Lonchura striata: one gene and its partner. The protein of the gene in region 2 interacts with the protein of the main gene of each other region in a pairwise test. Links are inferred from orthologs where the notes say so. Each region holds a gene or a part of one and is shown on either strand. Other genes may lie near its edges.

Region 1 (13,018 bases), on a different chromosome or scaffold from region 2:
CCAGAAGAAACTCCTGCAGTTTAGATACAAGATTACATGGGTTATAAACAGTTCCCATTTTAAGTTACTGCTGGCTTTTCTAGGTTTTGATATAAAACTGACAAAAAAACCAAATACTAATAATATAGCAGACTACAAAGACTATTACCATGGCTTCACAGGAAATTAAACCTGTCACTTTCTTTTGATAAATTAGTAGCAATGGTCAAATACAGTTAATGTCCAAAGTGTTTTAGTTAGTAGTGTCTGATATTTTAATTAAGAAATTAGAATACTATGAAAGTTAATGTGGTCTATTTTGCATGTATTAAAAACTACAGGTGAGCAAGCATTATTCTTATGATTTGCTTTGTGACTATTATACCTACTCTCCTAGTTAAGGAATATGCTCCAAAAAAAATAATTTTGGTTTTTCCAGTAGCTCCCATTTTTAAACACCCAGAAAAGTGTCAATATGAAAACACCAAGCATCCTTCAGAGGCGGCACCTTGACCCACCCTATTTCATCATTGCAACCCAGAAGTAAACAACAGAGAGCATTCTTACTGGGAGGGGAGGGCGGGGAGTGTGTGGAGAGAGAAAAAGCAGAACAACTAATACTCTCTTTCTGATACAACTTAGGGAACGCTGGGACAGGACAAAATTAGGGTTTTTAAAACACCAACAAAAGCAAAGTCCTATCTAAAATAAAGGCCTACACTAGAAACTACCTTGAAGGGATTGTCATTATCTAAGTACAAGTTTCCAGTGTGACACAGTTCCCAACAAGACTAGTGCAAATATAGCTATGGAGAACGATGAGCAGGAATCACAGGATCGCCTTGGTTGGAAGGGATCTTGAAGCCTATCTAGCTCAACCCCTCTGCCATGGGCAAGGACAAGAGCTCAGAGCATCCAGCCTGGCCTTAAAGACTTCCAGGGACAGGGCATCCAGAGGGTGTTTACTGCCACAGTCAGAGTAGAGCACTGCTCCCAAGTTCCTGCAACAGCTACTGCACTGAGACCAAAGCCACCAAAACACTGAAAGAACGAATGAACACGAGAGACTCAAAAGGGTCAGGAGGACCGCAGACCATAAGAGTAGTGTAGGGATCTGATAATTGTCAGCATATTAAATAGATACAGACAGACCTATATTTGGACAGGTATCTTGCAAGATGTAATGAACAGAAATAAATTAAATTCAGACTAGAAACATGTTTAAGTCTTAAACAGACTAATTAAATTTGAGGGCAACTTTCCCAGTTATGCAATATGATCTATTAACATAGGATTTTGTTTTATTTTTACTTTATAACTAGCACTCTGAAAAGAAAAAGAATTAGTTAAAAAAACTTTAGCCTGTAATATAAAGTTGGAATAGATCTGCAGTCCTCTCCATCTTCAGCCTCTGAAGCTACCCAAGATACACAAAGTAAGGCTCAAGCCTCAATATCAAGTATGCTACTTTGTGTGAGACTTCGCAGTCCTGTTGTCCTTTCTAAGCAGTATAAAAAGTGATACCTGATCTTTGAATGAGCTCACAAATGCAAGACTAGTCTCTGGAGTGATTTTAACTAAGCAACACAGTAAGTTCTGCATCCATACAGGACAATCAACAATAATCTGCAATCCAGTACAACACCAACAATATCTACAGAACTCCACAGAGAATAGAGCTGGATGGTAAAGTCGGGCCTTTCACTGAAATTTCAAACAGAAAAATATTGGAGCAAAGCTATTCACAGTAGGTTTACTTGTTTTCGTCAATTCACCAACAAGGAATACAAGCATACATGCTTCTGACTTCCTTGATAGTTACAAATTGAACCACAAGGAGAGAAACAAAGGTAAGAATGATGGCTTCCATCTGGAAAAATTCCTGCCAAACAGAGCCCATAACTGTTAAAATTGCTTTTCAACTTTGCAGGAAGACTGTTCTTGGGTAAGATTTTTTTTAATGCCAAGAGGTGTCTAAATAAACAGTAACTTCCATCTTTCTCAAATGTATCCCACACTGCCTGGCACTGGTAAATGAACTACACTGAAGTAACGAAACAGATCTTCCTTCCCAGTAATACTTCTTACCATTTAGGAAGTGATGCAACTGTCAACAGCTGCAATACCTTTGACCATTAGGGCCATACTAGGCCCTAGAATATTTTTCAAATACAAGGAAGCATTACAAGCAAAATCCATTTTCTAAGAGTTTTCTGCCTCCCTGCCACTTGAATTTGAGAATAAAGCATCCATACCTATCACCACCCACCACAGAAAAGTCAGGAATTCACTCTTATTTAGAAGATCCAAGGAATTTGAAGTTAGAAGTTCTGTTGGCCTATTAAAATAATCGGAGGATAACAAACACAATCAGCGTGAGCAGCAGTCCCATAGCAGGGCTACACTGTATAAAAGGAAGCAGAGCTTGCTATTTTGTCACCAGAAACCTAAACACTGTGGGAATGAAACAAACCAGCAGGGAGGGACTACTTAGCCCAGTGTTACTCTGCCGTGGCAGGGCGCTCTGCAACCCTCACTATGGAGCCACCATATCACACTGCAGCTCAACCACTACCACGTCCGCTCCGAGAGAAACATGCACTGGGCTACCTTTGGTTGACCATGCACTTCCCAATCATGCTGAGAATTCCTAAAAATTCATGTTTATGAATCAGTCACTCCAACACAGTCTACACTCCTCTATACTCACCTATTTGACACACAGCTCAGTTATCCATTTGTGGAATCTTGCATTGGATCTATAGAAGGATCCTTGAACTCCAGCTGAAAACATTAACAGCTGGATAATCCACTACTGCTTCTTCCTTCACTACAATGATTACTCACCCTCCAAGTTTACCACTTATGCTTTTCAATTTGATGCCATTCAACTTCACTTTCCAGTCACTGGATCTTGTTAAGCATAAACTGAATAAAGCATCGGATTTCAGTAAGAAAATATTCACATGGGGGACAAAAAAGATACCTCTCACTTTTTCAGATAACGTGAACAGGGCTTTTTCAGGCCTTTTACATACTGTAAGGCATTATTAAAATAATTTATAATTCTTTCCCATATTCTTCACTATTTAATATATTTTAAAGAAAAAATTTCATCACGAGCATTACCACATGTTCAGCCAAATATCATCTCCTTATACATTTTTAAACAAAGTACTTCTGCTGAACTGCTTGTTCATATTTGTATCCTATCAGTCAATAACTTTTGGAATACAATCCCATGCATATGCTTCTTACCTTCAGTGCACTACTTTGAATGTTGCTTCTTTAAGGTGTGCCTTGATTTATCAGCATAATTTCATGTGAGTTCTAGATGGTTTTGTACAGTTCCATCATCCCTGCTTAGTACCCATTCATCTTGTTTGTCTGCAAGATTTATTATTGACACTTTTGATATTGTGTCCAAATCACTAAAGAAAATATCTGAGACTAGTAGACCAGCTCCTCCAAGACTTTTAGGAACAATGAAATTCAGGAATAATCCTAACAACTATTTCCAAGATGTATCAGTTAGGCAGCAATTCTCCAAGCATTTATCACATACTATAAGATCCTCCTACAAGTATCACATGTGCAATTAATATTATTTGTTGTATTTCACCACTGAAATTATCTTCAGAAGCTCTGTTGTTCCACTACCAATCTTACAGCTAGAAAAGTAGGATATACATTGTCATACTAAACTGAACTTGTCAAAAGGCAGAATAAATACCCTTGGAAAGAAGAGTCCATTACTCAAGTTCAGCTTTCATTCATGAGGGAGGGAGCAAGGAAGGCCCAAGAATTCAGGGCAGTACCACACAAACCCCCTCAAAGCATTCCCACTGTAAGTTTCCTAAAGCATTTGTTTCTACCTCTTCTTACTGAAATTACTGAATCACTTCAAACTGAGTCTTCCACAAATAAATAAATAAACAAATCTCTCAGCATGACAGTATTTAAGTAAATTTCAGTATTCTTTAGAACCTCTTTCCTACAACATGAATATTGTATTCATAGTATTTCATGGCAAAATGCAAAGCTTTAGAGCCCACATAAAACAAACACATCCCTTAAAAAAACCACAAAACTTCAAACAATTTGAAAGTAATCCAAATTAGTCAATACAAAAAGACAGTAAGAAGCAAAAGCCTCATATGCAAGGCATAAAAAAATACCTGAGAAAGATACCAAAAATAAACACTAGCACTATGAAGCAAAAAAAAAACAAGTTAAGATTTTGACGGCACTATAAAAAGCATCGGTTTTAAATGTACACAAATGTTGAAACTGATTATATGCTCTAACGTCACTACTTACATAATGACATGGTGCTACTTTCTTAAAAAGTGGAAATCACCATGTATTAGAGTCCCTGACCTTCAAAAACGACTGAACACAGATGCACTGCATTGTCCAGTGGACAGGTCTGTGACAATACAGCTCTGCTATGGCACACAATCCATAAGTTTTTCAAACAGCGTTTCTGGAGCGTCTGTTAACAACTTAGTCTGTCTCACCACCTACATGAAAAACATCCTTCTCGTTCAAAGTTTATCAGTACAAAGACTTTAGGGAATAAGGAAACACTCACTGAAATCCATGCAGACACTATCTTGTAAGTAATAGCTAGTCAGACATTCATCATTTCTGGAAAAATTGAATAAAACTCCCTCTAAACTAGTGATGTTTATTGCATATTAAAATGTTCCAGTTGATGTTACAGCACACAATATATATTAACTTCCATTCTCATCTTTTGTGCAGACATTCAACTTTATGCATCAAAGGAACAGTATAAGATTCTACCAGATTAACTAGCTAGACTACAAATTTAAACTGAGATAATTTCATTTCCTATACAGTAAGTATTCAAAGTTAACAAACACTAGTCTTCCATCTTTAAAACACAATACATTTCTGACAAGCTGTAAATGCTTTTTATTCCATTTTCCAGTCTTAGATTGCCTATCAAAAGTTTCCACAACTTAAGAACACTTTCTTTCAAAGAACATCAACATCCTACACTAGATCACTACTGAAAACTTGTGTCAGTTCTGAAAATCATGAGACACTGCTCTGTAGAGGGTACTGCATTTAGTCTGACTCCAGTTAGGCTGAAAAAAGGTCTAGCAACAGTCTACTCATATCCCTTAAAATAAATCCCAAAAAAACCCAACAACAACAACAAAATCAAACAACAAACAAACACTTACTTGGGGTTTATTGCTAGCTAATTACCTTTCAGAACAGACTGGTCTATTCAAAACTCATGAGCACAGTTTAGAGAGGTAGAGCAGGGTAAGGTACACGACCACATATAGAGGCCTATATAGCCTTTTCAGTAATCAAATACACCACCAGCCTTTTAAGACACTGTTTAAGGAAAAGACACCATCTGTTTAGCAAAAACTGGAGCCTGACATATGCACTGATCAGTTCTGTAGGCTGAAAAAAAATCAATTCTTACAGACCTTAACGTATCAGATGACAAGTCCGCATGTAACAGCTTTTCTAAACTGTTTAAAATACCTTACAAAACAATCACACTAGTCCTCAATAATACAGACATGCCGCTGACAAAGGTGGGCGGCACAAAAGGGTAAAAAAAAAAAAAAAAAAAGGCACGAAACGACCTCTAAATGTTACCTGTAAACATTCCTCCCACCGTCAACACACTGGAAAAAAACAGACCGCTGGCTCTCTAGGTAAGCCCACGCCACACAGGGAGCGCTGGGCTGGATGGGACCAGCCCCGACCTGCGGGTGAGCTGCAGACCAGTGCCATCTAAACCCAAGGGGAAACACTAATTCCTCCGAGGCGCTTCCCGCCCGGCAGCCGGGCCGGGGCGGGCTGCGAGGCCGGGCGCTGCCGCTCAGGGGCCGGAGCCGCGGCACCGCCCGGGGCGCCTCTGCCCCGGCTTCACGCCCGGCTCGGGGGCGGGCGGCGCTGCCGGCGAGGGCGCACGCAGGGCCGGCGGCGGACCTCGCACGGCTCCCCGCCACTCGCACCCGCCTCCCCGCCCGGCCCGGCCCGGCCCGGCCCGGCCCACCGCCGCCGCCGCGCACACCCAGGCCGGCGGCGGGGGGCGGCGGCGCCGCGCCTCCCGCCCTCCGTGCACCCCGCCTGGCCGCCCGCCCGCCGAGCCCGCTCCCCCCCGCCCCGCGGCGGGACGCCGAGCCGGCCGCGCCCCGAGCCCCGCTCCCGCGCCGCGCTCCCTGCGGGCGGGCCGCTCGCACCTCCGGGTGCAGGATGGGCACGCAGCCCGCCTCCTTCTCGTACTCCTCCAGCGGCGCCGCCATCTTCCTGCGAGCCCCGCGCCCGCTGCATGCCGGGTAGCGCGCGTGCCCGCCGCGCCCCCGCGCGCCGCCGCTTCCTGTGGCGGCCCGGGCGGGAGGGACGGAGCGCGGCGGGCGGGTGCGGGTCACTCGTGGTGTGCCCGTGGACACACCGAGCGTGTGTCCTGTGCCTGTGTGCGTCCCGTGCTGCAATCGACAGCCGGCATAGCGCAGCTTTGCGGAGGTACTCCTAGTGAGGAGTAAGGTTCTTCACTAGTTGGAATGCGAGCGAAAAGAGCGCCCTTCACCTTCTGCCTGCAATGGGGATTTGGTTCCATACTAAGCAATCTCTGTCCATCTTTCGTAGGGAGTTACCCTCATGCCTACTGGAGTGGCAAAGAGAGCATGGGAAGAAAGCAAGAAGGTTTTAATTAGGTTTTTGCTCCCGACTGCAGGAATGTTTGAAGCAGTCCTGAGGACTCCCTGAGGATGCAATTCCTTCCAACCATTTGTGCCCTACTGGGCCGGAGGTTCCTCACAGCCCGGCACACACGCGCTGCCCAGATGCCTGCGGATTTGGGCACAAGTTACTAAATAGCTCTGTTTAGCTGGTCATTTCTATTCTCACAGGCTGAGTAATGTGCATACAGCCAAGATCAGGAATCCTAAAGTGCTTTCTTTTATTTTAATAAATTACATTTTTATCAAAAATGGTTTTTCAATTACGGAATGTTATTGCTGCGTTGACTACTGCTCTATTTTGCTATATCTATGGTGCTCTCATTTGCCTTTGTGAGAAAGGGACCTTTGGATAATACATTTTGTTGTATCATAATACATTAAGCTCATAAGCCTAAAACCCTACAATGATATTCTCTTCATTACTCTTTCCTATCTCATGCAAAATGTAACAGAGAAGCACTAATAAAGTCTGACTGCAGCATTATTAAAATGTTAAACCATAAATGTCTTTTTTTAATGGATTTAAATTCAAAATTGTGAAGAAGAATGACATAAGATTTAGAAAGCGGGGGTGTGAAACAGGTCTCAAAGCACATATTTGAAACCATAAGGGCTGAAGTGCTAAAAGAGCAGAACAAGACACTGAGTATACAGGAGAGAATCTTTTTTTAACTGTCTATATTATTAAATGTACTAGGGCTTAGATATAATTTGCAATTTGATTTGCATGAGGAAGAGGGTTTTCAACCCCCTACAACCTCCAGAAATAGAAATCCTATTAATCATGACAGTTCATCACTCCTATTTATAATAAAAGCAAGGGTGATAAAATAACTAAAAATCTTCATAGTATTTGTACTATTCAGATTATTTTTCCTTGGAACTCTGAAGAAGTTATGCTTTGTCCCATAGCTGTGAACCGGATTGTAAACAAATACTCTGACATCTGTCTAGGTATTTATAGCCTGTTCTTCACAGATCTACACATGTGCAAACCAATTCTATTCCCAGATATATCTGTACAGAGAATTTTTGCTGTTTGAACTGGGGCCTCATCTGTAAGTATAGTTCATGTGCAGCCTATTATCTTTCTTCAGAGCAAGTGTCCCTTTTACTACCAAGTAACAGCAGAACTAGAATATGGGATTGTGCTACTGTGCCTCTGCATTGGAGCTCCTCATTCAAAAGCTAGCAGAAGTTTAAAAAGTTTTCTACACTTCAAGCATTCCCTGTCCTTTCCTACCCTTTATATACAATCTAACATAATTACATGGAAATGTGATTCTTCATTGTTTTGCATTGTCACTACAGAGAGGCTGTGGTCTGTGCAGTGTAAGCAAATGGCAGATACAAACCCAACAATCTGCTACAGCAACAAAGTTTACTCCTATTTCCTACAAATCTAAAAGGCTGTAAGGTTAGATGTGTTTCTGGACTCTGCCAAAAAAATTACTATCTAACCTTAGGCAAGTATTTCACTTCTCTATGATTTACTTAGCTCACTTGTAAATCAAGAACTTCGTCATCTCGTTCAGGGGGATACTCTGGAAATTTACTACCATTGCAGAGCAATTTTATCTCTCTGATTAAAGATGCCTTGTAAATGCCAGGAATTGTTGATCAATGGCAGGAAATGCTCTTCTGTGTGATTGCATTGAATGCTCCATAGCTGATGTGTGAAGTGCTCTCCCTATTGACCCAAGAGGTTTTATCCAGTTCTACTTAACTAGGCATGCAATAGGGACAAGTCTGTAATATTGGTTAAACACCATACACACTAGAAAATTATTTTAGGTCATATACTCACAAAAGGAAAACTGTTCACCAGTACCACAGACACATAGATTTTCTTGCTTTGTTTTGTTTTATGTTAATCACTGTGAAAAGGGGCATAAGATCTGGAGACATTTTAATTTTCAGGTAAGCCAAACAACAGCCAAACTGGGAAGTAAGTAGCACAAAGTCTTATGATTCTCCATTCTGTAACATGGATTTTATCTTTTTAACAAGTTATTAGGAAGAAAACCCTTTGGCAGAGACAGAACATATTTATGGAACACACATCTGTACACATGATTCAGTAATAGGCCTGACTGTGCAGCTTTTTTAGCTTGTCTTCTACTAGACTATGAAATGTGACAGTGAAATAAAAGACTTTTAACACATATTTTGTAGAATTAGCAGCTTTGTATTATGCTATCAACATTTAAAATAACTAAAAGTGTGCATAAACAATGTTTAACTTTGTAATGAAATATTGCAATTAAAGCTAAATGTTTATTCTCGTGGCAGGTCAATACTTAAATTAAAAATATTAGAATGTCTTAGTACAAAAACAGGTAATAAGTCAAAAGTACCTTACCTAAGCCTACAAAAATGTGTATCTTTAGAACAGTTGTGCATATCCTTTACTTTTCATACATCGTTTTGGTTAATATTATTCTAATTCATAAATCATCAGATGGATTTGCCACCATACTGAGGTGCCTCTGAAATTTTCTCTTGCATAATTGTCACTTGCATAGTGACCCAGAAAACTAGCTTCACTATCAAGGGCTGAAATACCTGGAGAAGCCATGTCATGGTCCTGCTCTCTGAGTATATTTGCAGAGGAGCTATGAGTAATTATATTTACTATTCTCTACCTATGCTTCACTTTCTTATCCTATTACTGTTTGAGCCTTGTGCTTTATGTATTGGAAATGACACCCACCTATCTAAATGTGTATACCAAAATGAATGTATAAAACATGTCATTATGCATGGGTTTATCAAAGTCGATGATTTCTCTCTGCATTCACTCTGACATGGAGAACATCCACTTCTCAGCTTGGACCAGTTTGGGTGACTGAAAGCCTGTGAGTTTGCATGACAGCTCCACAGAATCTGTCTTTAAAAATATAATCCAGCTGAAAATGCTCTCTAAGCAAGTACATTAAGAGAATATTAAATATGCATGATTGAAAACAGAAATCAGACAGTGAAATTCTTCAATACAGTGCCTCCTGTAGCTGCAGGCACTGCTTCTGTTAAAGTATCTCAGGGCTCTGACAGCTGTGTGGATATGAATTAAACCTGTGTGACTAAACCTGGTTTTGATCCCAACTGACTGCCTCGCCCTCTTGAGAGAGGCGACTGTCCTAGAAGGCAAATCCATCAGATCTCACTGTTGGTCCAATCCTGAACCACTGCTGTCTTCAGTCCTCTCTTCTAAGGTAATGTGAGATTTCAGCTTTCAGCATCCTGGGCTGAAAGCCATGGCAGTTCAGGAGAGGACTCATGAGAAATCCCAGCTGAACTATAATCCAATGTCTGGGTTCTCCCTGTAACCTGTAGCATAGGGTCCTCCCTGTAGCCTATAGTGTAGCCTGTAGTGTAGTATGGACAGGGGTCCTAAAGAGAAGGTCACCTTCTTCTCTACTCCTCCTGGGTGTATCTGTTGGGGGCAAGCTTCTTTTGATGGCATAGGAAGCCATATTGTCTGCTGGTCTGCAAATGATAGGCGCTTTTATGGAACAGGATGACTCCGCCTAAGGAAGTCTTTGGCTACATAGCCTCTTGCTCCCTTAGAAACAGTCCAGGAGGTTGCTAGTCATAGAAAAGCCTAATGGCAATGTTTGATATAAAACATCAGAAAAATAATATATTTGTATTATTTCCCCCTCGCTTTCCCTAAGAGAACAAACTTTCCATTTGACTTCTGGAAGCTGGAAATGCCCTTCCAGTGGTGAAATTGTCACCCATTTCATTTAAAGGGAGCCTTTTCTACATGTGCTTTCCTACTGTATGATTGGATCCCAAACCCCTGTATTAAATTATATTCAGGGAGATTTCCCCATAGAGTTATTGAAATATAATGCTGATGACATAAGCACATAGAGAAAACAGGGACCATCTGCAAGATGCTAGACATCTATTAAAAAATTGTATTTGTTGAATCCTAAATGTCTAAATAAATATTGTGCTTTCAAAACAGTAAGCACATCAGCCTGTGAATCCAATATTTCTTTCTGGAGAGATTCTTTCTGTCACTTCTGTTGTTTTCAAATGAGTTTTTTGTAGAAACATTACTTAGCATTTGAACATAGAGAGGTAAGCACTAAGCATAAGCTGCTCCTAAGCATAACACCCTTGTTTTTCATTTTTTGTGGTTTTGCATTTTATTGTATATTTCTTTTCTGTCAAAATAATCTCATTAGCATGAAATATGTATAGCCCTTGAGTGACATAAAGCAATCATATTATTTCCCTAGGTGATTATCTTTGCTGATGCAATTCCACTGCTGACAAATTCTGCATTGATTTAAAAGTGCAGAAAATGAGTGGGGTTATCTAACTTGCCCTTTTTATTCCCATTTTTCTCCCTTTAAGATGATGTACTTCTGTTTCCCACTCACTGTGTTTTAAATATCTGATCTTGATAGCATATCGTACTCATAGATGACTTTGCTGCTCTCTTTGTGTCAAAGGACCATCTCTCCTTTCTTTGCTCGTTACAGTCCAAGTGGCTATTACCTAGTGTTCTCATTACTTACACTAGGTAGATCTAATAAGTGTACTAAAATAATTTTTAACTTACCTAAGTCTGTTAGTCTCCTGTGAGTCTTCCCCCAGAGCTTGTTCTTGGCACATTCAGTAACATACCACGTGTACTAGGTTGTTCTGCTAACACATCTGCCTGAACTCAATTTTTGGGGAAACCCAGGGCTACCGTGATGCAACCCTGTACAACAGCTGACAGCTCCATATTTGTAAAGGATAATGAATAGACTTGAAACTGAAGACTGGATTACACTTTATGAACTTCTTTCCTTTTCTATTTTCATCTTCATTATCCTTTGTCCTCTCCCAGACCTCCTTTACATCTTGTGCGTTGGGCTGATTATTCTAGCTGTCTTTGGAGAAAGTTCAGAATATATCCAAAGAATAAAATTTTGAAACACAGTAGTTGCTGAGGCAGAAACTCACTGCCAAAATGAAAACAAGTGACAAACCAATAAAATAAAATTAATAGTAATTCCACTATTTTGAAGAGATGTCATTGAGAATGAAGCAATAAATATTCAACAATGGTTTTATGGAAGTACTGCATCCTCAGGAATTTAACTTGAAGGGGGCTGAATGATAAAATAAGACAAAAATAACATTTAAGAGTTTCATTTACAATCTTTGGTTGAAAGCCAATAGATGAAATCTTTTTGGCACTTTATATCAAATGAAGTAAATATTTTCCCTGCTCAGATATAAAGCAAGCTCTGATAAACATGGTAGACTAACACCCTTCCCCCTTAAAAATGAGAATTTTCTAGCTGCATTAAAATAATTTTCAGTAACCAAGTTGATATCCAAACATAAATTAATTAGACACTTCTATACATAGCATGGTCCTAGATTACGACTGTTTTATAATCCTCTTCAGGAATTGTTGTCATCATGGTCATGGCAGCGAATATGTAGAGCCCATTGTCACGGGAGGTGTATTGCCAGGGATGGACCTGCTCATTCATTGAGCATGAAAGGTACTTTGCTTTCATGTAAGAGGAGAAAAAAGGAATAGTACAGGAAAAAAAATATAAAAGAGGTAAACTTTATCAAATGTAGTAAAAAAAACAGTGAAATATTAAATCCAGAAAGTTTCTGATATTAGACAAGAGCAAGAGATGAGAAGGGCTCAGTTGGAAGAGACCTACAATAATCATCTAGTCCAACTGCCTGATCACCTCAGGGGTGAATATCTGCTTTCCATGGGAGATGTTTAAATTCTCTATGGCTGGTTTTGTTTGAGGTTTTTTTGTAGAGAACAATTAATTGTCTTATTGAAGTCCTTGCATCATGCCATGCAGGTATTTTAGATTTATTTTATTACTGGAATTAAGGACAGACAAAATGAGCCAACAGCACTTATGAAAAACTTCCAAAATTGTGATGGAAAATGTTGAATAAATTACCATCTTGTGTAGGTTTTTGCTGAATTTAAGGTGAATTAATAATGGTCGTACACAGGCAAGTACTCTAAGCATAGGGGCCAATATAATTTTGTCTCTGTTTTAATGGGAAAGAGTGGTAGCAGTTTTCTGCCCTTGACTAAGCAAGGATACAGAGCAGCAACCTCTTCCACTGACTCATTGATACAGTGGGGGAAAATTCCTTTATTAGATTAATATAAGGACTGCCAGAATACTGAAGGTATAACCAAATGAAGAAATAATCCCCACAACCAGTTTTTAAAATAATAAAGTAAATAAAATACATCAAACATTCATAAGGTTTGGATGCAAATGGCTAATCTGAAATGCAAA
Region 2 (12,290 bases):
AAAAAAGGAGTCACGTCTGGAACAAGCACTGGCACCAGACAGCTGAGTGACCAAATTCCCTTGGCCTGTTTTGCCTACTGCTGTGGAGATCTTAAAGACTTTTAAGAATCCCTAGGATTCTTTCCTAGGACCATGCAACTTAACTTGTGGCTCTGGAAAGTCTAGGTATTAGTCCTGCTAACTGAGGCTTCTCAGGTCATCTTCTGGTTAGACCATGGCCTTTAAAGTGATTACATTTCAACCACTTGAAGTGACACTTCTTTTCACATCAGGCTACTGAAAACCTTATACTCAAAAAAAAAAAAACAAAACCAACAAACTATCCTGCAAGTATTTAGCAAGTGTAATGTGACCTGCTGATGACAGACATATAATTCTCCAATTTTGTTTAAAACTGGATAATATTTTGGTAGGCTAGTCTCTTTACACATTAAACTTTACATGATGTAAATAGGAAATTTTAGTTTAATACCAATGGTCCCAAGAAAAACACTAAATAGCAATAAAATGTTTGAGGTTAGACATTAAATGAGTTAGTGCTACCAAAAACTTCAACAGCACAAGTAAAAATATCTCTCTCCAGTATTTTAGTGTGTGTCATACTGTTGCACACCACTGTGATTGTTATTTTAAGGCTCAAAACTACAAAAGCAATGTTACCACAGTTGTTTGGTTGTTATTTTTTTAATGTGTAAAAAATTCCATAGACTACATTTCAAATTGTAAATATTATCAAGAGTGGATTGTGGGATAGAGGCATGCATAACATAATCAAATAATGTCAGCATCCAAGAAGCCTACTTGATTATGAATATTAATTGAAATTATTGTTAACTACAAAGTAGAAATGCAGACTTTAGAATTTAAATGAAAAGCCAGTAAAAGACAAAGATGAGAACTCATAAATAGCTTCCACACTCAAATATGCTCAAATTTCAAGTACTGCCTTCTAAATTAGTTAATATTTGTTTTGCCTTTATCATATCTTAAAGTGGCTCTAAAATCCAATTACCTATACAAAAATCCAGAACAATATTCTACAATTAAAACCCAAGCAGGAACCAAACTTCTTAAAAGGACCACACAATGTCTTCAATTATACCTAGAAAGAGCACCATAGTGTTACTCTGTACACATCAGTTACCAACAATAATACTGTACTGCAGTATAGTAAAATATAGCCAAACAGTTTAACAAAGAGTATCTCAAGACACTCGTTATTCTAACATCAATGCAAAACATTTAACCTTTTAACTCCTGGCTCCCCTGCTTCAAGTGTTTTTTTTCTTAAAAAAAAACCAAACCCAAACAAAAACATATAGACAAATCTCTAACTTTTAAGAGTAACCACTTATTTTAAATATTGTCAAATCCTGGTTTAGGACACAGGATGTATGTTACGGTGCTCATTTCACCACCCCCCCCCCACCCTACACCCCCAGAAAAAAGTCTTGCAAACTTGGCTTGAAGCACTGCTTATGGTTTTGTTTTTTTTTTTTTCAAATTAAAACCTCTGCCATACCAAAAGTTTCAACCAACAGCCCAAGTAGATGTTCAACTCCTCTGAAACTATCTGGAGATAAAAAAATAATAAAAACTAAAATGCTTTCCCCATTCTTGAGAGGAATTGGCAGCCCTATCTCTCCTCCACGTCCAGGTTTCCACCAGCCCCAGCCAGCCTGGAGGGTACGCCGGGCTGATTCTCCAGAAATGACAACCCACTGCAAAAGCAAAGCTGACCCTGACCTGAAGGCGCTTCAGACGACCCCGGGATCGGTGGCGGAGCCCCCCTCAGACGCCAAGGTGGGAGCTGGAAAAGCAGCCTCCGCTCTCCGCTTCCCTCCCCGCCTCCAGCTCCGTCTCGGGCGGGGGGCGCGCAGCAGGTGGGAGGCGACAGCCCCTCGCCCGCCGGAGAGTGCAGACAACCTGGAGATAACCAGGAGACATCCTCTAGGCTGGGAGGTGGGAGGGGGCTGCTTCAGTCGCCTTATCAGAAAGTCAAACCCATGTTTCCTTTAAACTCTTCCCCCCTGCCCTCCCTCAGGAGATGCTAAAGGAGCTTCCCCTCCCGGGAAGTGCCAGGCGCCCTGCAGACGGTTCAGACAACACCTCCGGGACAGCTGGGCAAAAGGCAGATTACCCCCTCTCGCCTTGCGCTAAACACCCATTCAACTTCACAAAGCCAGCCGCTGGAAAAGCTCCTCTTATTTTACGCATATTCTGCAAATTGCCTGACCTTCAGCCCGCCCCGCTCCGCCCCAGCCCGGAGGGACCCAGGAGGCATTTCCAGTGGGGGCATCAGACCGAGCAGGGTGCTCCCCCTTTTTTATCCCCGTCATAGATCCGCTAACAGGACAGGATGCAAAGAACCAGCACATTTATTTGCAAACCTCAAAAATCTCTTTTTCACCTACATTTGCTTGAAAATCCTGACAGGAGGGCATACCTCTCCCTCCTCTGACCTAATACTTCTCTCCTTTGCATCCGCCAAGAGCAAGAGAAGCAGATTTGCCTTTTTGTGTGTGCATGTGCGTGATAACACGATTCCCCACTTCTAAGAGCCAAAGTCCACTCTCACCGAACTCAAGTGCCAGGATTGCTAACTTTTCTTTCAAGCTGGGCTTGGCAAAAGGGTGAGCGAGGGAGACGAGTTTCGCGTTCGGCACATTTGGGGAGGTTTAAAACTCGAGGGGTTTCTTGCGCGCTGTGGAAAAATCCCGTGTACCGCTGGCCGGGGAAGGGCGAAGCCTAAGGGAGAGAAGTCCCCTGCCCGTGAATTTCTGTTTTGTGGCCGGAGCCTGTGCAAGACACCCCCACCCCCATTCCCACCGCACACACACCAACCACCTCCTCTTCTTTCAAAGTGCTTTGAAACCCCCATTAAGGACCGAGTGTGTGATCAGACTATGGATTAGGGCAAAAGGGACTTTACCATCGGGGTGGGGCAAAGTGACACACAAACAGCTTGCTGAAAACACCAGCAGCTTTTTTTTTTTTTTTCTTTTTTCCTTTATTTTATTTTTTTTTTCAGTTTTAAATAGGGGAAGGGGGCTGTCACTAAGTAAGCCCACAGAAAAAAAAAAAAAAAAAATTATGGCTTTTCCTTCCCGTCCACACACGCCCTCTGCATAGAAGAACCTAGAGAAGGACTTTCCTCGTCTTACAGATCGAATTAATTTCATCACAGGAGAAATATCTAAACTTACACACACGCACACACACACGTATATATTTGTACCAGACGTGCACTCACTTCCGAATCGCACGGATCTCCTGACGCCACTACAGACAGGCGTAAATCAAGCACTGAAAGGCGGGTTGCTCCTTCTCCCCAAAACCGGGGGACAAACAGCCCCGACGCTCGCCAGCCCCGCTGCGCTCTCCCTTCACCTCCCCCGGGGCTTGTCGGAAACCCACGCGTGCCCAGCGAGGCAGGAGCGCGCAGGATCTCCCGTGCCCGGCCCCCCGCAGCAGCCAGAACACGCCGGAGCTGTGGTTCCTTGCAGCGCACCCCCCGCCCCACTCGCAGCCCCGCAGGCATTCCGAGGCGCCCGCGCAGCCCTCCGCCCCCTGCGCAGCCTTCCGCACCCCCAGGGCACCCCGGCGGGGCGCAGTCCGCAAACCCCACGGAGCTCCCCCCACCCCTCCCCGGAGAAAAACCGCTCCGAAATCCCACCTCCAGCTCCTCTCTGAGAAAGGAAGGAGAAGGGAAGGGGGGGAGAGGGAGAACCTGTACGAATGGAAAAGGGATCGGCCTCAAACATTTCCACGAGTTTTCTTGGAGCAACCAAAGCGGGGGTGGGTGGGGGGGGGGGGGGGGGGGGAGAGAAGGAGGTTACTGAAAAGCTTGTTTTGCAAAGAAGGAAAAGGCTCTCACCGTGATCGCGGCGCTGCACCAAACCCCTCTCTCTTGTATTTTCTTCTTCCTGCGGTTTGCAAATAAATCCAGCCCTAAAGCAAAAAAAAATTCTTTTCCAAGCTCTGCTTTAGTCCGACTTGCAAATTAGAGTAAGAATGATCACCATGTTAAAAAAAAAAAAAAAAAGTCCAGATCAAAGTTAGGTGCCTTTCCCCAGATCGATTATAAATACGTGTGTGTGTGTGTATACTATAATAATAATCAAAACACCTCTCCGGATCGGGGTGGGTTTTCTTTGCTCCTAAAAATCACTCAGTCTCACACACACACACTTTCCTTTCTTTTCCTCAATGAACAGGAGGCCGAATCGCCAATACCAAGTCACTTTTTTTTTTTTGTTGCTGTTGCAAATTCAAGAGGAAAGGGAAAAGCCAAAGAAAACAAAACAAAGTGGATCTAAAATAAAATCCCAGAGCTTTCTTCCACTGAGCTCCTCCAAAAAAGCAGCTTGTGCAATGTAGCCGTTCTCCTGAGAAGCTGCTTGCTGCAGGCTCCTCTCCCCTCTCTCCCTCTTAGCTTTCTCGCTCCCTCTGCGAGCGTGTGTGTTGCAGGCAGTTCTGTGGTTTGCAATCGGGGGGGTGTTTTGGGAGCGCAGCGGATTTGTGGTGGTAGTTGTTGTTGTGTGTTTGGAGGAGGTGGAGGAGGAGGAGGAGGAAGATTTGAGATCTGAGCTGTAGGGACTCGACGTTTTTCTGCTCGCTCGCTCTCTCCCTCTCTCTCTTTTTCTTTCCGGAGGAGGTAGGGTGATCTCTCTGCAAAAGCAGCAGTAAATGGCGTCATGTGGATCTGAGGAGGAACAGAGCAGTTGTTGTCCCAGAGGATATATCGCATCCGGTCCCAGCTCATTGGCTCTGCGGGGCTACATTCACTGGCGCTCTCAGCGCCCTGCCAGCACTCAGAGCTGCGGGAGGCATTCAAAAGGGTAGCGCTGCCGCCGCCGAGCCAGCCCTGCTGCCCCGGCCCCGGCCCCGGCCCCGGCCCCGGCCCCGGCCCCGGCCCCGGCCCGGCCCCGGCCCCGGCCCGTCCGCGGCGCTCCCCGCGCTGCGCGGGGCGAGCTGCAGCCGCGCTCCTGGGGCCTCGCCGCAGCCTGTGCTCACGGGAGGCTGCTCCGTGCGCGGTCTCACGCCGCTCGGGGTTGCTTTTGTGCTCGTGTATTTACTCAGAGGCAGGCGGCGATAGGTTTGCAGGGAAACCGAGGGGAACTCGCTTCTCGCGGGGAGGAAGGCGCGCTCTCCCCGCCGCTGCGAGCGTTCGGGAGACCTGTATCCAAGTGCTCCCCGTTGCTTCCCACCCGTTTTTCTTAACCGAGTGGAATAAAAGTTTACACTTTCTGCCCCTCCCCTCCCCCGCTTCGCCCTTTCCAGCCGCCGGTCGCCGGCAGCGCAGGGAGCAGGAAGGGTGATTACTTGGGGCATTGTCCCGCGGATTAATGCGATTAGGCGGCGCGGAGGGCGCCCCCGTGCCCGGGCGGGAGCGCGGAGCGGGGCCCGCGGGGCGCGGAGCGGGCGGCAGTCCCCGCGCTCGGGCGCCTGCCCGCGGGGTGCGCCGCGTCCCTGGCACCGGCGGGGTCCCCTCGCCTGTGCGTGGGGGTGCTGGATGCGTGGAGTTCTTTTCCAATAAGTTAAAAAACCCTTCAAAGTCCTCCCTCCCTCCCTCCCCCCAGCTTTATTTTAGTCAGTTGCCATTCGTGCGGAGGACACGGTCTGCGAGCAGCTCGCGAACGTGACTATTTGTCTTCTGGGCGTTTCCTGACACGACCACAGCTCGGTCCCTTTGGTACGAGCTGGAAGTACTGACGGGGCCACTGTGGCTGGCTGGACGCGGGCATCTTGCGCCGGCACGTAACTGTGCGCGCACCCCTGTCCCCGGCAGGCACGCACCGAGCACGAATGTTCCCGTGTCACATGCGGCACTGCTTAAAATACACACCGGGTGTAAGGCAGCAATCGCTGGACAACCCTCGGTGCAAGCCCGAGCCAGCCCTCTACTACTCGAGGCGATTTTGCAGGCACTTGCTCTCCTACACCTGCTGGTCACTGCTCTGTGGAGGGGGTGGACATTCCCCACGAAAACGTGTAAATGAGGGTCGTGTCTCACATGGACGGCCTTCGAGTTTTCGTGGTTTTATGCTCAAGTATCCGTTCTTCCACAGTAATATTCTGAACCTGCAAACTATTTTCCATACTTGGGTGACAGTAAGGTCAGACGGAATTAAACGGGGCTCGCTTTTTTCCTTTCAAGCTCCATCGCTCCCTAGCCTGCACAGAGCTGCTGCAGCCCGACCACCCATCCCCTCTCCACCCTGTTCGACCCCCGGTCCCGCAGACGGAGCGCTCTCCCGCCGGGGCGGGGGCTGCCCCTCGCTGGAGCCGCAGCCCGGTGCGGCTGGGTTACCCTCGGGCTCGGGGAGCGGCGGCGGCGCGGCCGCTCTCCCCGCCAGAGGGAGCGCGGCGCCGGGGCGGGGGGCAGCGGGTCAGGGCGGCTCCGCGGGGGCACCAGCCCCGGCGCCGGGCAGCGCCGGAGGGAGCCGCGGGCCTGCCCGGAGCTCCCCCGCGGAAGGGGGCACCCAGCGGCCTGGCGTCATGCGTCATGAGCATCCTCGGAGATGTGCCCTGTGTGTAGGCTGTACGCCCCGTGTCAGCAAGGCAATCCACGGTGTTCAGCTGAGAGAGACAAGGATGGGTTAAAATATCTGGGAAACAGAAAACACAATATTCCCCTCACTGTAGGAAGACAAAAATACTTCCTCCCACATAGCAAAGTCAAAAATAAGAAATTTTTGTGCAAACCTATACACACGGGAAAGGTCTGTTAAAGTATTTTTTATCGTTTATATTGAGTACATAAATAATGTTTTAAACTGGAAAGTTCATAACACCATTTTTAAATCTGTCGGTCAGTAGTGGAATCATCAATTCCCACTCCAGTTCTCACATACAGGTGCATACACTTAATACAGAGAGTAGTCTCAAAGACAGATCTCAAAACAGGGATTTTTATTCACAGAGGCAGTCATGTGTGCAAAATGGTGAAGCATCAATGTGTTATAGCTTAAAAAAAAAAAGGCAAAAAAAACCTGCCAAAAATAAAACCAGCAAAACCCCCAAGAATACAGCATCCTGGTACTGATGAGTTTGAAAGAGAAGCCTTAAACTTGCAAAGATTTGTGCGCTAACTGGCACAAAGGTAAATAACAGTGCACAAATCTGCAGAAAATTAAATGTGCTCATTTTTGTGCGTGTGCTTGGGTTCATGTTGGAACCTCGACGCTGATTTCTCAGTTTTAATCTGATGGCACCTTGGAAGAAGCTTTTGGAGGATTACATGTTTCACTCACGTTTCTTGTTGCAGAGAGTGGCTTAATGCATGTGATTATGTTTCCCCTAGTGGTTTGCTCTAATTACTGCATGATTTTTTTTGGTGTTTTTTAGGTTTTTTGTGTGTTTTGTGTGGTTTTTTGATTTTTTTTTTTTTTTTTTTTTGCTTTTAACCCAAGCAGACCTTGTTTTTGAGATGAAGTTCTTGAGTTTATTCTCAGCAGGGAAATGTAACTGTTGTATAGATACATATTTGTGTACACACCAACATACACATATATTTATATGTGTGTAAGTGTTGTATGTTCATGAGCTATTTGAATAGTAGCAATTCCAATGGCTTCAGGTTAAAAATGGTGTATATAGATTTGAAAACTGTATGACTTGACAGACACCCATATAAAATAGCTGAAACTTTTCTGCTTCATCCTGAAATTATCCCACAAATTTTTGATTGATTCGATTTTCAGACCAGAACCAGAAACAAGTGGTTTCCCCCTTTACTTTGAAAAGGGAGGACAGCTCATTCATAAGGAATTCTTCCTGCAAGGGAATGAAAGTGCAGTACTTTGCTGACTTTGAGAACATTTCATGCATTATCTCAGGAGTTAATGCAATGATATGGGAATATTGATTCTACACATCCTAAAAGGACTAAGATTGGCTGCACATTACTTCTAATGTCCAGAAGTTCCATCAAAACTTAAACCTTTAATTGATTATCTTCCGTTTTTGTGACTCTGAATAAGCTAAAGTACATAAAGGAATTACTGAGCTTTTTAAAAGTGTAAAGCTTTCTTTGCCTACCGATATTTCATTGAGGTTCTTCAGGGCAGATAAGGCCATTTAGATAAATCATAGAGAGAAACAAAGAAGTCAAACACATTGCACTGAAAACTTATAAAGAAAATTAGGTCCTCGACTCAGTACTGTTAGTTTTCCTTTTGCAATTTTTGTTGTAGTTTACCTGAAGGAAATCCTGGAATTCTCTTCCCTGAGAAAAAGGGGGGAAATGAACACGGTCTGGTAGGACAAGGATCAGCACTGTTACATGTGAAAGAACTGGTACCTGCCACTCTGCTTGGGAATGCACAAGCTCCTCAGCTGCTCAGAGATTTAGTCTCCTGCTTTTAGTGATGCCCAGATTTTCTCTAATTAAACTATTATTTTCCGATCTAGCTCATGATAGACATCTTTCTTACAGATGATATAGGCCAGATCTTGTGTAACTTTATTCCATCTGGTGATTGCCTCAGTATATAGAGGGACAGTTGCCAGAGGATATTTTCTTGAATAACAAATATACTTATGTAAACTTAAAGAATAAACAAATCCCTTTCCTGTACCTTCTGAAATTATACTGAAGTATACATACATTTAGTACTAGTAATATAACGTGGAGCTTTTGCATGTAAATTGTTCTAATAAAGCTAGTATGCTCTTTGATGTGTCATTCAATGTTATTTGGTTATATTTGTGTCTTGATTAAATCAGCACTGTTTTTTTTTTAAATTCAACTTTATAAACCTTTCTAGCTTATACAATGCATTTTATAATTTCTCTTCTCAAATACCCTGACACCCAATGTTCATAAGTGGGACAATTTAGCATGGATTGGGACTAAGTGAAGTTTATTTGCTAAACTGGTATTATATCAGGCTTTTTATGGTGTATAGGCTCCGTCTGTTAGTGTTTGAAACACTGCACTTTCTAGATTCATGCAGTTAGAGGCTAGATAATACTGGGCTTGACTCTACTAGAATTTTATGCAAAATCAACCAATAGTCTATTAAAATGTTAATAAGCACTAGTTTGGGAATTCCCAAAATATTTTGTAGCAGGATGCAGACATTTATGTGTTGACCGGGGATTAAAGTGACTCAGAAGAAATGGAAGAGGTCAATGTTAGACATTATGGGAAATTTGAAAGAAAGTTTTATTAAGAGACTTATCACATCTCTGCTGTGGTTTGCAGCAGCAGTTTTCAAATTTCTTCAATCTGTAGACTTTTTCTATGCTTTAGGATAGAAAAAAAAATAAGGGAAGCACAAACATTTTTAGAAAATTGTAAATAATGAGACCTCCCATTTAGAAGTGTTTGATAGGAATTCACAGATCACAGTTAGAAAAAAAACACTGATGTAGAGATACCTGAACTAGCTCTAAATTGCGATGTAGTAGAAAGGTAAATTAATATCTTTGGTACTGTGAGCAGTGGAATTGGAAGAAGCCTGCTCTTCTCAGAAGTACAAGGTAGCCTGAATGGACCTCCATGCTGTGATGGCCATTTTGCTCCCAGAACATAAGGTGTTTTTTTGCATTGGAGGCTGGAGTTCAAAAAATACTCCTAAAGATTAACAATTTGTAACATAAATCTTGAATGTCACTCAAGGAATATGTACAAGTCAGAGTTAAAGATTTTGCTAGAAACAAAAGGAAGCAGATTGAGCAAATGTTTTTTAAAAAAGTATAATGTTTATCCTATTTACTGAGATTATTTTTATTTTCCTCAGATGTGAAAGACTTGTGTTCATCTGAATATAAGCAGACAAGACAAGTACATCCTGAAAGTGGAGGTGATATATGCAGGACAGAATATTTTACTGGAGATTAATGAATTTTGCACAAAAAGGAAAATAAAAACTGGTGTTTCCCTATCACTTGTCTGAAAATCAGAACACAATCAAACTGAAATGCTGTTTATGTGCTTACATCAATTAAAAAAATAAAAATTGCAGATACCCTGACCCAGATCTGTACTGTCTTTTTCTCCCCTGATTATAATAGCAATATCAATGACCGTAATTAAACTGCTAGATATTGTATCACAGTTTTTTCCACAGATCTCAGACTAGTTTTCAGGAGATGTCACTGCCCGTTTTAGAGGTGAGAAAAAACAGGAAAGAAAGAAAGAGGTAACTTATCTCAAAAGCAAGGACTAGGACTCTCAGGTCCCAGTTCAGTCTCTGTGCTATGTACATGCTGCCCAAGGTGTTCATTTCCTTCTGACCTCCAGAGTCTTTCTTCACAAGCAAAATTTCAGAAGCTGTGTCTGATAGAATCAGAACACTTTAAAAAAGTATGAACTGTTAGACAATTTTCTTACTTTGAGAGAGAAGAGGACAAAATGTTTGGTTATCTAAACAAGGTTATCTCTTCAGGAGCATGCACTCCCACCCCTTGATTAAAGAGTTCCTCTAAACTTCCATCTCTGCATCTGGTGTAGTTACTCCTATCTCATTTGTGGTTTTGTAATCATCTTTCTTTTAAGCAGGTCTATTACTTACAAAAGTCCCATAGATAAAAAGGCAGAAATTAACAGAGAAGCTGAATCTTGGAGCTGTTCCTCCTAAATAAGCCCCTGACTCCTTCTGGAGCCTGAGTGAAAGTCTTACGTGCTCCAGGCCAAGAAGGGAATCCAGCTGTCCAGAGCAGCTCCAAGGATGGTCTTCTAATTAATGAAAGTTAAAGGAAGCATTGGAAATAGCATTACAAACAGACAATAAATCCACTGCATCTGACAGAACAAGCTTGCAAAATAAGCCCACTGGAAAACTTCCTTCATTCTTGAGGTTAAGTGTTTAAACCGTTTAACATATTTTAAGTTTTCTTATTGTTGCTTACTCACAAAGCAATTCAAATTGGCATAAATTATACCCATTTCTGACGGTTTACGTTGTGTCAAAGCAGTTGTGTTTTCGAAAATATGTGCGGTTCAATTTCCATTTTCTTTCTTAGCTCCGTAGATTTGTTTTCTCCACAGGGACACAAATTATGGCTCTATAAAATTCATTTTAGCTAAGGAAATTTCTGTTAACACCTTATCTATAATCCCAATGTAGACAATAGATATAAAGGCAACAACATTTATTTAGCTGAATAGCTTTTGCATCAGGTAAAGTTTGACTTCCGTGAGGACAAATTATTTGCAGAGTTAGACAATATATGTAAATATGTAAAATTATATGTACAGATGGTAGATGCTGGGCCACAGCCCAGGCTAGTAGTTGTACTTTCAAGTTTGGTCGAAGCTGGAGCTTAAGCTGCAAAGGCAAAATCTTCATTCAGCCCAACTTCAAACCCAAGGATTTTTTCTGCAGTAAAAAGGTCTAGGAGAGGGAAAGCATTTCTCTGTGGTGAGAGGGAGGCAGGAGGGAAGAGGGCTGCCTTTTGCTGAGACCCTCTCGGATTTAGCATTGCAGAGGCTGGTTCTGAAGGCAAGTCAATGAAATAGAAACTGGAATTTCCTCCGCTCTCCTTCCTGCTTCTGTCTTTGCCTGCCTTACCTTTTGAGAACCTGATTTGTATTTGTATACATGCGTGTGATCCCGATTTCATTGTTTGCCTTTTCACACAAGCACTTTCACCTACATCCCCCTTCCCTCCCTTCCCTTCCTCTCATTTGGCAGCCAGTTGGGCTTCTTCCTGCCTTGAATACCGCATTCCCTGGTTATTCAAGCTCAGTCATTAGCACCCTGTCCCCCCACTGAAATTATGAATGAAAAGCCTTGTTGTTCTTTACAAATAACTCGGGCTTCCTCAGTCAGTCAAATTCAAATGGCAGTGACTGCCAGACAAAGCGCCTGTATGATGGACAGTCCTCTCAGCAAGCCACCGCTGCACACAGGAAGTTTTAAAGGCGCGATGCGGGCAGCGCAGCGCGGCGCTGCCCCGCGGGCCGGCAGCGGGCTGGGGACGCGCAGCGGCCGCGCCCCGCGCCGGGCAGCGGCCGTGCGGCCGGCCGGCTCCGCGCCCCGCGCCCCGCAGCGGCCGTGCGGCCGGCCGGCCCCGCGCCCCGCGCCCCGCAGCGGCCGTGCGGCCGGCCGGCCCCGCGCCCCGCGCCGGGCAGCGGCCGTGCGGCCGGCCGGCCCCGCGCCCCGCGCCCCGCAGCGGCCGTGCGGCCGGCCGGCTCCGCGCCCGGCCCGCGGGGCGGCGGGCTGGCCGCGCCGGCACAGCCCCCCGCCGCCCGCGCATTGTTCGCCGGCCCCTTTCACAGCGGGGGAAAAGGTAATTGACAGCGCCATTGTCCGGCCCGGCCCCCCGCGGCTTTAAAA

What was found.
Region 1: the proteins of SPRY2 (region 2) and ZDHHC17 interact in binary tests that used the Homo sapiens proteins (3 or more experiments, as listed by UniProt). The link is inferred for Lonchura striata from reciprocal best matches to the Homo sapiens genes SPRY2 and ZDHHC17.

The regions. Positions count from the first base shown.
Region 1 is NC_134607.1:47,182,698-47,195,715, reverse strand, and holds the start of ZDHHC17 (palmitoyltransferase ZDHHC17), read right to left. Parts: upstream 6,348-13,018; 5' UTR 6,282-6,347; coding exon 6,219-6,281; intron 1-6,218. UniProt on the Homo sapiens protein: Palmitoyltransferase that catalyzes the addition of palmitate onto various protein substrates and is involved in a variety of cellular processes.
Region 2 is NC_134604.1:47,461,375-47,473,664, reverse strand, and holds the start of SPRY2 (protein sprouty homolog 2), read right to left. Parts: upstream 5,343-12,290; 5' UTR 5,326-5,342; intron 5,096-5,325; exon of another isoform or gene 5,079-5,095; intron 4,706-5,078; 5' UTR 3,878-4,705; intron 1-3,877.